Linked DNA regions of Schizosaccharomyces pombe. The gene in region 3 interacts genetically with the main gene of each other region. Each region holds a gene or a part of one and is shown on either strand. Other genes may lie near its edges.

Region 1 (4,014 bases), on a different chromosome or scaffold from region 3:
ATAATCGTACAGAAAAAGATAGCCATTTCAAACATATGATACTTACATTGTGTTTCCGTATGGACATGTTCGCCTACAACAGGATGGTCATTATCTTGACTCGATGATGCATTTGAAGTGTTTTTTCCAAGTAAATATCCAGCAGTCAAAGAAGCAGCTGCAACGCCAGATACAATAGGCAAAAAACGGCCTTTCCATACATCAGTTTTGGTTGCAGTACCAAATTTTCGACAAATGCCTGCTTGAAATCCATTTCTCTGCAGTAGAGACCTTCTCATATTATTGTAACCGTTAATCCTTATACATTTTGGAAATCTGAAAAGTAAGTTTTTAGCAAACATGGTTTTTTTGATTTATGGGAAGTTGAGCTCTGAACTTCTAATGTCTGCGTAATGGTCAGAAAGCGGCGACGATCTTACAAGAACGTAACTTTGTCATTCATTCTAAGTTTATATAAGTTTGCATGTTTTTTAAATCAGATTTAAGTAAATAGGTATTCACAAATGTAAGACAAGCAAGACTGGCAGGATTTACGAGATTACTAAGAAATGCCTGAATGACTAATTTCATAATAGAATTAAACTAGCGACATAATAGTTTCACAAGCAAACTTAGGTATGCAAAACAAAAGGTAATTCATTTATAATATTTAATTAGAAGAACGTGAGTATTATTTTCTATAATATGTTAAATTTTTACTATAATAATGTACCAGTAAACGACACTGAATTTTTTCTTTAAAAGAAATATACTGACATCCCAATCTATTCTTCCTTGCCAATTATGTCAACCCAACGTTTGCCCTTAAGCTCGGCAAGAATCTCTTGCTTAATCTTGTGAGCAATTACAGGACCATCATATCCCAAAGCAGTATAAACTTGAACCATAGTTGCACCAGCACGAGCATACTCAATAGCATCTTTGCCAGAAGAAATACCACCACAGCCGATGATGGGAATATCGGAAGAAAGATGCTTACGAAGTGTGCGAAGAGTATTTAATGCGATAGGTTTGAGAGGAGGTCCAGAAAGACCACCCGTCTCTTCAACATGGCTAGTTGATTTGAGGGTCTTAGGGCGTTGAACGGTAGTATTACCAACGATCACACCGTCAATCTTGCACTTTTTGAGGACATCGGCAATGTCCGTGAGTTCTTCTTCGTTCAAATCAGGTGCAATTTTTACAAGTACGGGAGGATGAGGAGAGTTCAATTTATTGCGCTCACTGACAACAGCAGTCAATAAAGTTGAGAGGGCAGATTTCTTTTGTAGGTTACGAAGACCAGGGGTATTAGGAGAGGAAACGTTAATGACAAGAATGTCAGCGAAGTTACCAAAGGTACGAACACCTTCAACATAATCCTCAATCTCGTTACCGTTCTTATTCTTGCCTAAATTGATACCAAGGAACTTGTTAGGAATTAAACTACGAGGTACGCCAAGGACAGCGGGATCAGTGCAAGAAGCGGGATTTGCATCAAACTGTTTTAATAGTTGAGGAGATGTCTTAGCAATGTATTTGCGAACGCGCTTTTGAATCTTAGCAAGGATGGCATCATGGCCGATAGAATTAAAACCGTAACGATTGATTACAGACAAATCAGGCTTAAGGCGGAAATAGCGTGGTTTAGGATTACCAGGTTGAGGTTTAGGTGTGACCGAGCCAATTTCAAGATAGGAAAACCCGAAGTTCAACAAACCTGAGATAGCATCGGCTTGTTTATCGAAACCAGCAGCTAGACCAATGGGATTGCAAAATTTCTTACCCCAAACTTCAACGGCAAGAGATGGATCATCAGCTACACGATCCTTCGGTGTTATACCCCAAGAGGCAGCGAGAATGGCGACACGATGAGAAAACTCAGGAGTGGTGAAAGCATGAAAGAGAGGCATTTCAATGCGGCCATGGATAAAACTACGAACATCGGACATGTCGTAAATGGCAACGCCGGCAGTAAAACTACCAATAACACTCAAAAGCTTCCAATGACGGAGAAAGAAATTGCCATTTGAAGAGCCAGAGCTGGTAGATTGAAAACGTACAGAGGAGCGCTTTAAACCCTGAGCGACACCGCGAAACAAAGATCGTTGATACATTTTAGTATTTTTAATAGAATTCGGCTTAAATAAAAAATTTTCAAAACGAAATTGAAAAAAATATGAATGATAAAATAATAAAATGAAGTTTTATAATAGTTTATGCTTAATATATTTAAACACCAGTTTTTTTCCAAACACAACAAACCCAAGAAAAAATAAACAGAACCAAAAAATAAAAATATGGATTTAAGGATCAGAACAGAATCGTCAATCCGTTTCTTTATCCACCTAGAGACAAGAAGTGTTAATTTATATAAAATGGAGAACTTGGTTCTAATAAGATTTCAACGAAAACAAAGATTTCAGAACCGAAAAAATTTCTCCAAGTGCTAGCAGAGGTATATTCTCTGAGAAAGAACAAAAATCAAAAATTGAATGTTTATATTGAATGTTACCTGTAACAGGTAACATGTTTTTTTAGTAATGCCGGGCTGTCGAAATTTGACTATGAGTTTTGTAAATAAAGCGATGGTTATAAACAATTTTATGATAGTTTTTGCTTTCGAATTAACATTTCATAAAAAATTTGAAAAAGAAAAATTTTAAAAATTTAAGGACAAAATCCACTTGAAAAACAAGTGCGAACAGCTTTTTGCAAAAAAACTACAAACCACTACACATTAGCGAATAAGCCTATTAGGAATTTATTTTAATTTTTGTTGATTTAAATTTCTTTTTTTTTTAAATGGTTAGAATCTAGTTGATAAACTTCTAGCAATGTATTTCCAAATTGTTTCTATTACGTTCGTTGATACAGGCAATTGTTCATTTCTGGTATGACTAAAGCATTTCTATACAATTCAACTTCTCATTTTTTCTAGCTGTATTTATGATGTACAGAGCGTTGGGAGAGAGTTGATTAAGTCAATAGTATTTATGAATGAGACAAGGAACACTCATACTATATCAATGATAAATAGCTTTTATATTATCCTGTTATAATCATAAAAATTAATTTCATCTATATAGACTTAGAAAAAAATGGTTTCGTTTTCACTGTCCTTAAACTACAAATATCGTACACGTGTTACTTGTTCTTCAGGTGTACCCTCACTATTGTCAAATCTTATGAAATTCTTTACTCGTTGACTTGATTGTTATGCGAACAGTATTTTCGCAAATTCCTCGTTTTAAACAAGTCAATCAGTACATACGGATGTCGACAAGGCAGTCAGACATTAGGTTTGTTAGATAGAAGACAGACGTTGACTAACCCATATAGCAACTTCTTCATTTCTTCTGCTTCGCACAAAAGCGAGCACGTGGAGGTTTCTCAATCGTCTTCTGATTCCAAAAATGTTGATGGGAGAAGCACAAGCGAAAAGAGAAAGGTCGAATCAGTGAAATTAGTCGACGAGTCGAAACACAACAACCACGACGACACTGGAACTCAAAATGTTGAGCGTGAAAATAATATTGTGTCTGAGGCAAAAAAGCAAAAGACTTTAGGTTCATCCTCCTCTTCTTCAGATGCCGTATCTAGTAACAACGATTCTGGGGCATCTACTCCAATACCTTTGCCAATCAAAGAACCACCGTTAGAGTCCAATGCTCGCAATGATAAGTTAAAAGGTCATGCAACATTTGCTGAAATGGTAAAAGCATTCACAAAAATAGAGAATACTAGCAAACGGTTGGAAATCATTGATATAATGGGGACTTACTTTTTTGGAATTCTTCGCGACCATCCCAGCGATTTACTGGCCTGTGTGTATTTAAGTATCAATAAGGTATGAACGTTTGGTTTTAAAGGATTTCTCCTTCTCAGTACTAACGTCTTTTTTTACATTAGTTGGGCCCAGATTACTCGGGACTAGAGCTAGGAATTGGCGAAAGCATTATAATGAAGGCTATTGGAGAGTCTACAGGGCAAACGCTTCAACAGATTAAACTATCGTTTCACAAAGTTGGTGAT
Region 2 (4,714 bases), on a different chromosome or scaffold from region 3:
AAATAGAAAATTCGAATGAAAAAGAATTATTGACTAGCACATTTTTAAGTCCTTCTGCAGAATCTCAGGTTTGTCTTGCAGAAATAAAAACCATACGTCCGGGATTGGTTCCTAAAAAGCAGTTTTCTGTGGATCAAAATAATGTAATAAGTGACAATACGGACTGTTCGCTTCCTAAACCATCTAACTCTAAGCTCTCCAGTATTAGTAGCGATGGGGATGCTTCTAGCAATCGAATGGCTGTACCCGATAAGTCTCCTTTTGTTCATGCTGCACCAAATTCTAAAGCATTGACGAAGGATAGTTTTTCTACTCACATTAGCGTTTCATCTCTTCTTCATAGTGACAACGAGATTTCTCCTATCGATTCAACTCGTAAAGATTACTTTACTTCAAAGGACAGCAATCTTCAGACTCTTAAAGAAGATGCGTCTTCAACAAAACAGGCTAAAGATTCTGGTACTAATGATTTTGACAAACTGATATCTGGCAATGATGTATCTAAAAACAATTCTGGCGAAGAACAAAGCAGAAGCGCATTGAAGCCACTAATTTCTGGGAAACTATCAAGTTGTGAGTCGATCAACTTAACCAAGGATATTTCAACTGTTAAGCGCAAAGAGTATTTTGGAATTGAATCGACGTCCTCAAAACAACCTTTCCATGATACTGGTTCAATTAAAATCCCAGCAAAAAGATCTTTTGATACCATTGATAAAGATTTTAGAAGTTCTAATATTCCATTTGCCGACAAAATTAAAGAGGACGGTGGAGATAAAAATGTGATTTCCTCAATTCATATTACAACTGAGCTTCCTAAATCAATGCCCGTTGAAGTACCTACTAATGCTGGTGCTCAAAGCGATCAAAGCAATGTCGTTGACTCCGAGTCTTTGAATTTGCGTGAGAATATTTCTACGAGCGTTGCTGACGTGAGCCTTAGTCAAGCAGGGAACGAAGCAGTGCTTAGTAAAAAGGCTTGTAAACCGCTTGTGTTAATTGACCCCTTTGAGGAGAAAGTACTTAAAGCCTTTAACATGTTGAGTAAAGGTTATGCTGAATACCGTTGTCAATGGGAGGGTTGTTTAGCCAATCTTCATTCGTTGGAAAATTTTATAAAACACGTTTTATTGTTACATCATCCGAAAAGTTGTTCTGTGGTTAAATGCCTATGGGCTTCGTGTGATATGGTTTTGCCATCAGAAGAGTTTGAAATGCATTTGCGCGGCCATTTGAACAACATCCGGCTTAATTGTGAAGTTTCTAACTGTAAAAAGTGCTTTTCTAATTATGAAGATATGTTCAAACATTTGCAGCATTCACATTTACCTTTCAAGTTCACACCAGAGTCTTTCATTAAAATTCGAAATGGCAATGTCAAAGAAGAAGCACGTCGTACAAGAAATGCTTACACACAGAAGTCTGGTGAAGTAGAATGTTTTATGGAAACTTGTACACCGATAGCTAAACCTGCTCCTGCGAATTGGTATCCGGTTCCTCCACCTGGTTTTAACTCATCTTTACTTTCCAGACTAACCCAAAGCAATCAGTCTAAAGATAAAATTATAGCTGCTTTAGCTAAGAGGAATGTTTATAAATCATTTGCGGGTTTGTACGATAGTAAAGGTAAAAATGATAATACTGGGTACGATTTTGATTCAAATTATGCCCGGGTTGGTCGTCATGGTTCTTTTATTTTACCTGTCAGCAAAAGTGTCCCTACTCCATCCTTGCTAATCGAAGGGTCTATTGTGCAACGTAAAAATATAAAAATAGAATGATCCGTCTTTGTACGTTACAAGCGTGATCTCAACAATTATTTTCTTAATTATGGTTTAATCCAACTGGCGTGAATCTCTCTGAACAAACATCTTATGTCTTTTATTTATATAGTTATTGTATGTAAAGTAAATATAAAAAATTATTGATTGTCCTTAATTTACTGTACACGCGTCCCTTCAAGTACATACATATGGTTCGATTGCTTAACTGAAGTAACCGCCGCTAGGAACCATCATAAACTTTTATCATTTTTGGATTCATAAAACCATTATAACAGTGGCTAGTTAATGAAAATAATCAAATGTCTGGTTTTTGAAATAAATAAATTCACTTGAAAGCCCTTCCATTCGAAATTGAAGCACTTTTTATTCCAAGGCTTATTTTTCTCTTATTTAATCAGAACAAATGGCTAATTCAGGGCTTTGGGAACTTATAACAATAGGATCCGCAGTTCGAAATGTTGCCAAATCATATTTAAAGGCTGAAGCTTCGTCAATTACAGCAAAACAACTGTATGATGCATCGAAAATAACCAGTTCGAAAAGGTCCACAAGTGACCTGCACGTTCAATTATTGGAGAAATACAGAAACGGTAAAGTCAAACATGCTTCCCAAATAAAAGAATTGGGGTTATCTTCTAAAGATACGAAACGAACGCTTTTGGGAAATTCTTTAGATGTTCAGAAAGATGCCTCCGGTGTCAAACATTTGCAGGAGCAATCTTCTAAAGAAATAAAAAATCCTATTTCGCAACCGATTTTACCAAATAAAAAAGATGAAATAAGTCCTGCTAAACCTTCAGCGATTGATTCTAGTATTAAAGACGTAACAAAATCACACCCTGCAACGAATGCCAATTTTACAGCAGACTTTGAATCCTCTATTGAAGAAAGCTACTCTACTGAGAATAAGTCTCCGGTTATACTTTCCTCTTCTAAAGTTCCTTCGTCCCAATGGAGTCGTCTATGGCATTACGGAGGCCTTGCAACTTCCTTGTCGGTTGGGGCTATAGGGGAGAAAATGAAGAGGATGTGGGGAATCAGCAAAGACGATGGAGCTTTGTTACTGAATGAAAGAAATGTAGAGATTTTGGTGAACAAACTGACTCAAATGCGTGGTGCTGCTTTAAAAATGGGTCAAATGCTTTCATTCCAGGATAGTAAGCTGATTGACCCACGTGTTTCTCAAATTTTGGAGCGTGTACGTGATGGAGCACATTCCATGCCAGAAAAGCAACTAGAGCAAGTTATGGTTAAAAACCTTGGAAAGAATTGGATGACTCACTATTCAGAATTTGACAGAAAGCCAATGGCGGCAGCTTCAATTGGACAAGTTCATCGAGCTCGTTTAGCATCTAATCACATGGAAGTTGTGGTGAAAGTTCAATATCCTGGGGTGATGTCTTCCATTGACTCGGATTTGAATAACCTAGCTTATTTGTTGAAAGCTTCTAGAATACTTCCTAAAGGATTGTTTTTAGAAAACAGTTTAGCAGCCGCAAGGAAAGAACTGAAATGGGAATGCGATTATGAAAGAGAGGCCGCTTTTGCTGAAAGGTTTGGATCGTTGCTCAAAAATGATTCTGATTTTAAAGTCCCAATGGTATTTCGAGAAGCATCTGGACCCAGCGTAATTACATTAGAGTACTTACATGGTATTGCTTTGGGAAAACAAAAATATTCACAAGCTACAAGGAACCATATAGGATATCTGCTGACGAAACAATGTCTAAGAGAGATATCTGAATACCATTTTATGCAAACCGACCCTAATTGGTCTAACTTCTTATATAACGGAAAAACAAAAAAAATTGAATTACTAGATTTTGGAGCATCAATTGAATATGATGAAAAGTTCATCAAGAAATATTGCCGACTTTTACTAGCGGCGGCTCATCGTAACCGAGAAAAGTGCAAAAAATTATCTGTTGAACTAGGATACTTAAATAATCATGAGTCTGCTCAAATGATAGATGCGCATATAAATTCAATTTTCACTCTTGCGGAGCCATTTGCATTTGATGCACCTGACGTCTACGACTTTGGCGATCAAACGATCACTGCGAGGGTTAAGCAGCAGATTCCTGTTATGCTTGATTTAAGACTTCAACCTCCTCCAGAAGAAACTTATTCATTACACCGTAGACTAAGCGGGCATTTCCTTTTGTGTGCCAAGCTTGGCGCCAAGGTGAGATGTAAGGAATTGTTTTCTGGAATGTTGAAACATTACGCTGATTAAATGTTTTTATATGAAAAAGCCATAGTACCATAGCAACTTGATGACTTAATACAATGATACAAATTTTTTTTTTCCAAAATAGATAACACATTGGTTGAAACCCTATATGTGTGGACCGTATATTTAAAACATATTGTATTAATATTATTATCAATCAACCCTAAAGACCCATAAAGCTTAATAAAAATAAGCTTATAATGCTGGAGGAGCACCCAAAATTGTTCCTTTACATGTTGGCTCAATGTTCATGAAATCCTTTTGTTTCCCGGCTTCGGTTTTTCCAAATAGATTTTCATTCAAAGACTTATCTTTGGAAATGTTTTTCTTGCTGGCATTATCAATCTCTATGTCCGTTTGTTAGATACATAATTGACGGTGGAAATGAAGCTTTCCTGTAAAACACACTATTAAAAAAATTTCTTACCCATTGCAATATCATCTAAATGGATCCCCTTTTCAGCAAGACGTTTCAGCGACTAAATTATTGGTTAGGTATTTCTTTAAAATGCTTAAAGGTGATTTAATCTTACATATTTTCCATTCCTTAATTGCTTCTTTATGGTTTTTTTACTCGCAACACGGCCATGAATAATGGCATTAGGAGCCTTTGAAGCAGACTTTCTTCTATCGTTTCTATGGGGCATTGTAAAAGTTGAATTCAACTTTCGTATATTTTTTGTATTAGTATACTGCA
Region 3 (3,638 bases):
AACTCCCTCTCAGCGTCGTGCAAACACACAGTTTCAGAAGAACATTACTCGTCGTGTAAAAACAAATTCAAAAGAACGTTATGTTGCCAAACATCCTCCTACCAAGATTCCTCGTAACATTGCCAGTAAGTAAGAATTGATCCTATTGTTAGCAACTTTGGCTTGTGTTTCATACTGACAATGCATCTTAGTGTTTTTTATTCTTCTCATGTCAGGAGGAATTATTTTGGGAATACTTAGATTTCTTTTGACGTTTTTTTCTTAAGAACATGTGATTGGAGCAATTTTAAAACCTATTTGCACCGATATTGTGTATTATACTCCGAGAAAAAGTATACTAGTTTTGAATAATAAAGCTTGTGATATTGACGAAACTTTTTGACATCTAATTTATTCTGTTCCAACACCAATGTTTATAACCAAGTTTTATCTTGTTTGTCTACATGGTATTTTACATTCATCTACATACATCTTTCATTGGCTTTGTACATAGTTATCATTACAAGTCTAAAAAAATTCACTCTTTTCTTATTCAATGTCAATCCAAGAGAAAAGATTGTGGTAATGTTGTAGGAGCATGTTTAATAAATTACTATAGCAAATTACTTTTTATTCCCAAGGTGTTTATCTATAATAGTTAATATTTTAGTCGCTACATAAAATTTTACCAAAGAGTACTTGTATACTAATTCTAAATGCCTTCTGACATAAAACGCCTAGGAAAACAAACGCAAACAAGGCATCGACTTTTTCAATAACCAACCAAAAAAATTTTACATTAGTCTTTTTTTAATGCTGAGAAAGTCTTTGCTGATATGCCTTCCAACCAGCTTCTCTATATCTCTTGGCTTCGACAACAGGATTACGACCAGCTCCATAGACTCCACGACCAACAATGATGATATCGCTACCGCAGTTTACAATCACTTCTTCAGGAGTACGATATTGCTGTCCCAGCCCGTCTCCTTTAACATCCAAGCCGATACCAGGGGACATAGTTATGTAGTCGCTTTGAAGGTTAGGAAATCGACGACCAGCTATAAAGCCAAAGCAAAAATCGGTATGCTTCTCAAACCATTCTAAGGTTTTCTCTGTGTAGGAACCAGTAGCCAAAGAGCCTTTGGAAGACATTTCAGCCAAAAGCAAGAGACCACGTCCCAAAGGTAAACCAACTTCTTTGAGGCCTTGTATAATACCCTCGCCTGGCACTGTATGGCAATTTGTGATATGAGCCCAAGAAGCAATTTTGTACACACCAGATGCATATTGTAGCTTGACGGTATTTCCAATGTCTGCGAATTTGCGATCCTCAAAGATAAGAAAACGATGCTTTTTACCTAAGGCCACCAGTTTTTCTACCATATCCTGGTCGAAATCCTCGACAACGTCAATATGTGTCTTGATAACACAGACATAGGGTCCAATTTTATCTACCAATTCTAAGATTTCGGATTTCTTCGTCAAATCGACCGCGACTGACAAGTTGCTTTGCTTTTCTTCCATCAAAGCCAACAATTCCTTGGCAATGGGATTTTTCATCCCCTCAGCTCTAGCTGAATAGCTTTGAAATACTCTAGCATCCATAACTTTGCTTTTAAACCTTTAATTTCGATCCAAGCAAAAAAGAGGTTCTTGGTAGGACAATACGGTAAGAAAACACGACATGTGCAGAGATGCCGACGAAGCATAGTTAAACTGGGATGGTAAAATCAATTAAGAATTTATAAAGACAAAATTGTATAAGTCTCTAAAACATCTTAATTATACCTCACAGAACTATCTAAAATATATTCACAAAGTGCAAACATTATCATGAAAAAGAACCATTTTAATTTAAAGCAAGGGCATTAAGGCTTATTTACAGAATTTCTTACTTTTGTAAAGATTATAAGGCTGATTATCTTTTTCACCATGCCAAAAATTACACAAGATAGAATGGATGTTTGAAATTAAACGTGAGTATACAAACAAATACACTAGGTAAATCGAAACATTTTTTTCTCCATTAAGTAACAAATTCCTATTTAGAGAAAGAATGCTGAGTAGATTAAATAATCTATACAAACTTTTTTAACACAAATGCATACATATAGCCAGTGGGATTTGTAGCTAAGCTTCAGGAGTTTTATCCATTTAATGTATGGAATCAAAATTTAAAGCTTCTGTCAAAGTTTAACAATATTTCTTTTGGTTTAAATCAAATCTTCCATGCGATTAAGAAGATAGATGCTGAACAAAAGAAGCACATGGATAACCACAAAAGCAGTTTGCTCATGGGTACAACCATGAATTTTTTTTTCGACAATGATTCAAAGACCAGTATATCCAATACGCATCCTAGAATCTAGTCAAAGAAGAACCTAAAGTAGAGATGCAAATGCGCTAAAAAGAGTGGATATAAATTCAATATCATTTATAAAACAACTTCTTCCATTAAAAATTCCTTGGGCAAAACAAAAGTTCCAATCATAAAAAGTTAATAAGTTCTGAGTTGTGTCAAATCTGACATGGCATTCCTCAATAATGACACTCACTCATTATGTAAGCATCGAAAACATATTAAAATCTATACAAGCTGTTTTGTCATTACGGTCTGGCATCAACTTTTTTAGAGGCGGTACGAAGATGATTTTGCACACGGATAACCAATTCTTCATGAGATCCGCTAGTTTTAAGTGAATTTTTTTTACAATACTCAATTAACTGTTTTTTTGACCATTGACTAGGAGGACTTTGAGAAATGGAGGATGAAGCTGTCTCCCTGGAATTGTCTGTGATAGGACTAACTACAACCGCCAGGGAAGAAGCAGCAATAATTGCAGCAAACGATAAAGTTAAGACATTAGCTATTTTCATCGAAGATGAAATACAAATGAGTAAAAAGAACCCAAAAATGAAAACTGTTATTAAAAAGGAGATTTTGAAAATTTAAAGGTTGAGGTAAAGAACGGTTGTAGAAGACGAGCATCTAGAGGAAGACGCCCCCAACTGTGGCCAACGTTTTTCATTACCCAAATTCATCTGACATTGATTATGATACATTGAAGGTGTGCTTACATCTTTCTAGTCATTATTTTGATACCACCACTTAGAATATCCATTTCAACTTCTACCGATTTTCAATCGTGTTACGAAAACTTATTGTAATCGATTCAACGTTTTACTTGACATTAATTTTTTAAGCATATCTACTTTCTTATAAAGAATTGTACTAGTACTCAAACAATGAGTTGTTAAGATAATTGTGTATAAAATTTCATAAATCTAAACATATATCATCACAATGACAAAAAAAACTCAAATATGGAGTGCTTTATCTCCATCATTTCAAACGCCCTTAAATAAGGAGCTTATCTTTTTGATTCTAAGTTTCGTTCATTAAAGGAAAAAAACATTCCCATCAAAACAATTAGTACAACAGTTCATCAGATTTAAAGAGAGCTAAGGACCTTGTCAGCGGAGGAAATATCAACATCGGTGACCTCGTTCTCAATGAAAACCTTGACAACCTTGCCATTCTCGACAACAGCGGCATAACGCTTGGAGCGAAGAGGGCCCAAAAGACCGCTAGCGTCGAAGCCAGCATCAAAGGCCTTGGTAAACTCTCCGTTCCAGTCGGCGACAAAGTGAACACCACT

The links.
Region 1: of ura4 (region 3) and ura3, a mutation in one rescues a mutant of the other (synthetic rescue), as found in Schizosaccharomyces pombe (one study listed by BioGRID).
Region 2: of ura4 (region 3) and coq8, a mutation in one rescues a mutant of the other (synthetic rescue), as found in Schizosaccharomyces pombe (one study listed by BioGRID).

Annotation. Positions count from the first base shown.
Region 1 is NC_003424.3:1,384,746-1,388,759, forward strand, and holds ura3 (mitochondrial dihydroorotate dehydrogenase Ura3), read right to left. Parts: upstream 2,401-4,014; 5' UTR 2,097-2,400; coding exon 765-2,096; 3' UTR 612-764; downstream 1-611. Other genes in the region: disulfide relay system thiol oxidase subunit Mia40, read right to left, coding at 47-341; ATP-dependent DNA replication ligase Cdc17, read left to right, coding at 3,199-3,281, 3,322-3,829, 3,892-4,014. UniProt on the Schizosaccharomyces pombe protein: In the de novo pyrimidine biosynthesis pathway, catalyzes the stereospecific oxidation of (S)-dihydroorotate to orotate with reduction of flavin and the transfer of electrons to ubiquinone, which is part of the respiratory chain.
Region 2 is NC_003423.3:2,999,174-3,003,887, forward strand, and holds coq8 (ABC1 kinase family ubiquinone biosynthesis ATPase Coq8), read left to right. Parts: upstream 1-2,000; 5' UTR 2,001-2,187; coding exon 2,188-4,020; 3' UTR 4,021-4,103; downstream 4,104-4,714. Other genes in the region: SHREC complex intermodule linker subunit Clr1, read left to right, coding at 1-1,781; ribosome biogenesis protein Alb1, read right to left, coding at 4,213-4,364, 4,445-4,496, 4,551-4,664. UniProt on the Schizosaccharomyces pombe protein: Atypical kinase involved in the biosynthesis of coenzyme Q, also named ubiquinone, an essential lipid-soluble electron transporter for aerobic cellular respiration.
Region 3 is NC_003421.2:114,992-118,629, forward strand, and holds ura4 (orotidine 5'-phosphate decarboxylase Ura4), read right to left. Parts: upstream 1,635-3,638; 5' UTR 1,585-1,634; coding exon 790-1,584; 3' UTR 598-789; downstream 1-597. Other genes in the region: protein tam14, read left to right, coding at 1-125, 192-265; protein new25, read right to left, coding at 2,587-2,856; thioredoxin-related chaperone Pmp20, read right to left, coding at 3,432-3,638.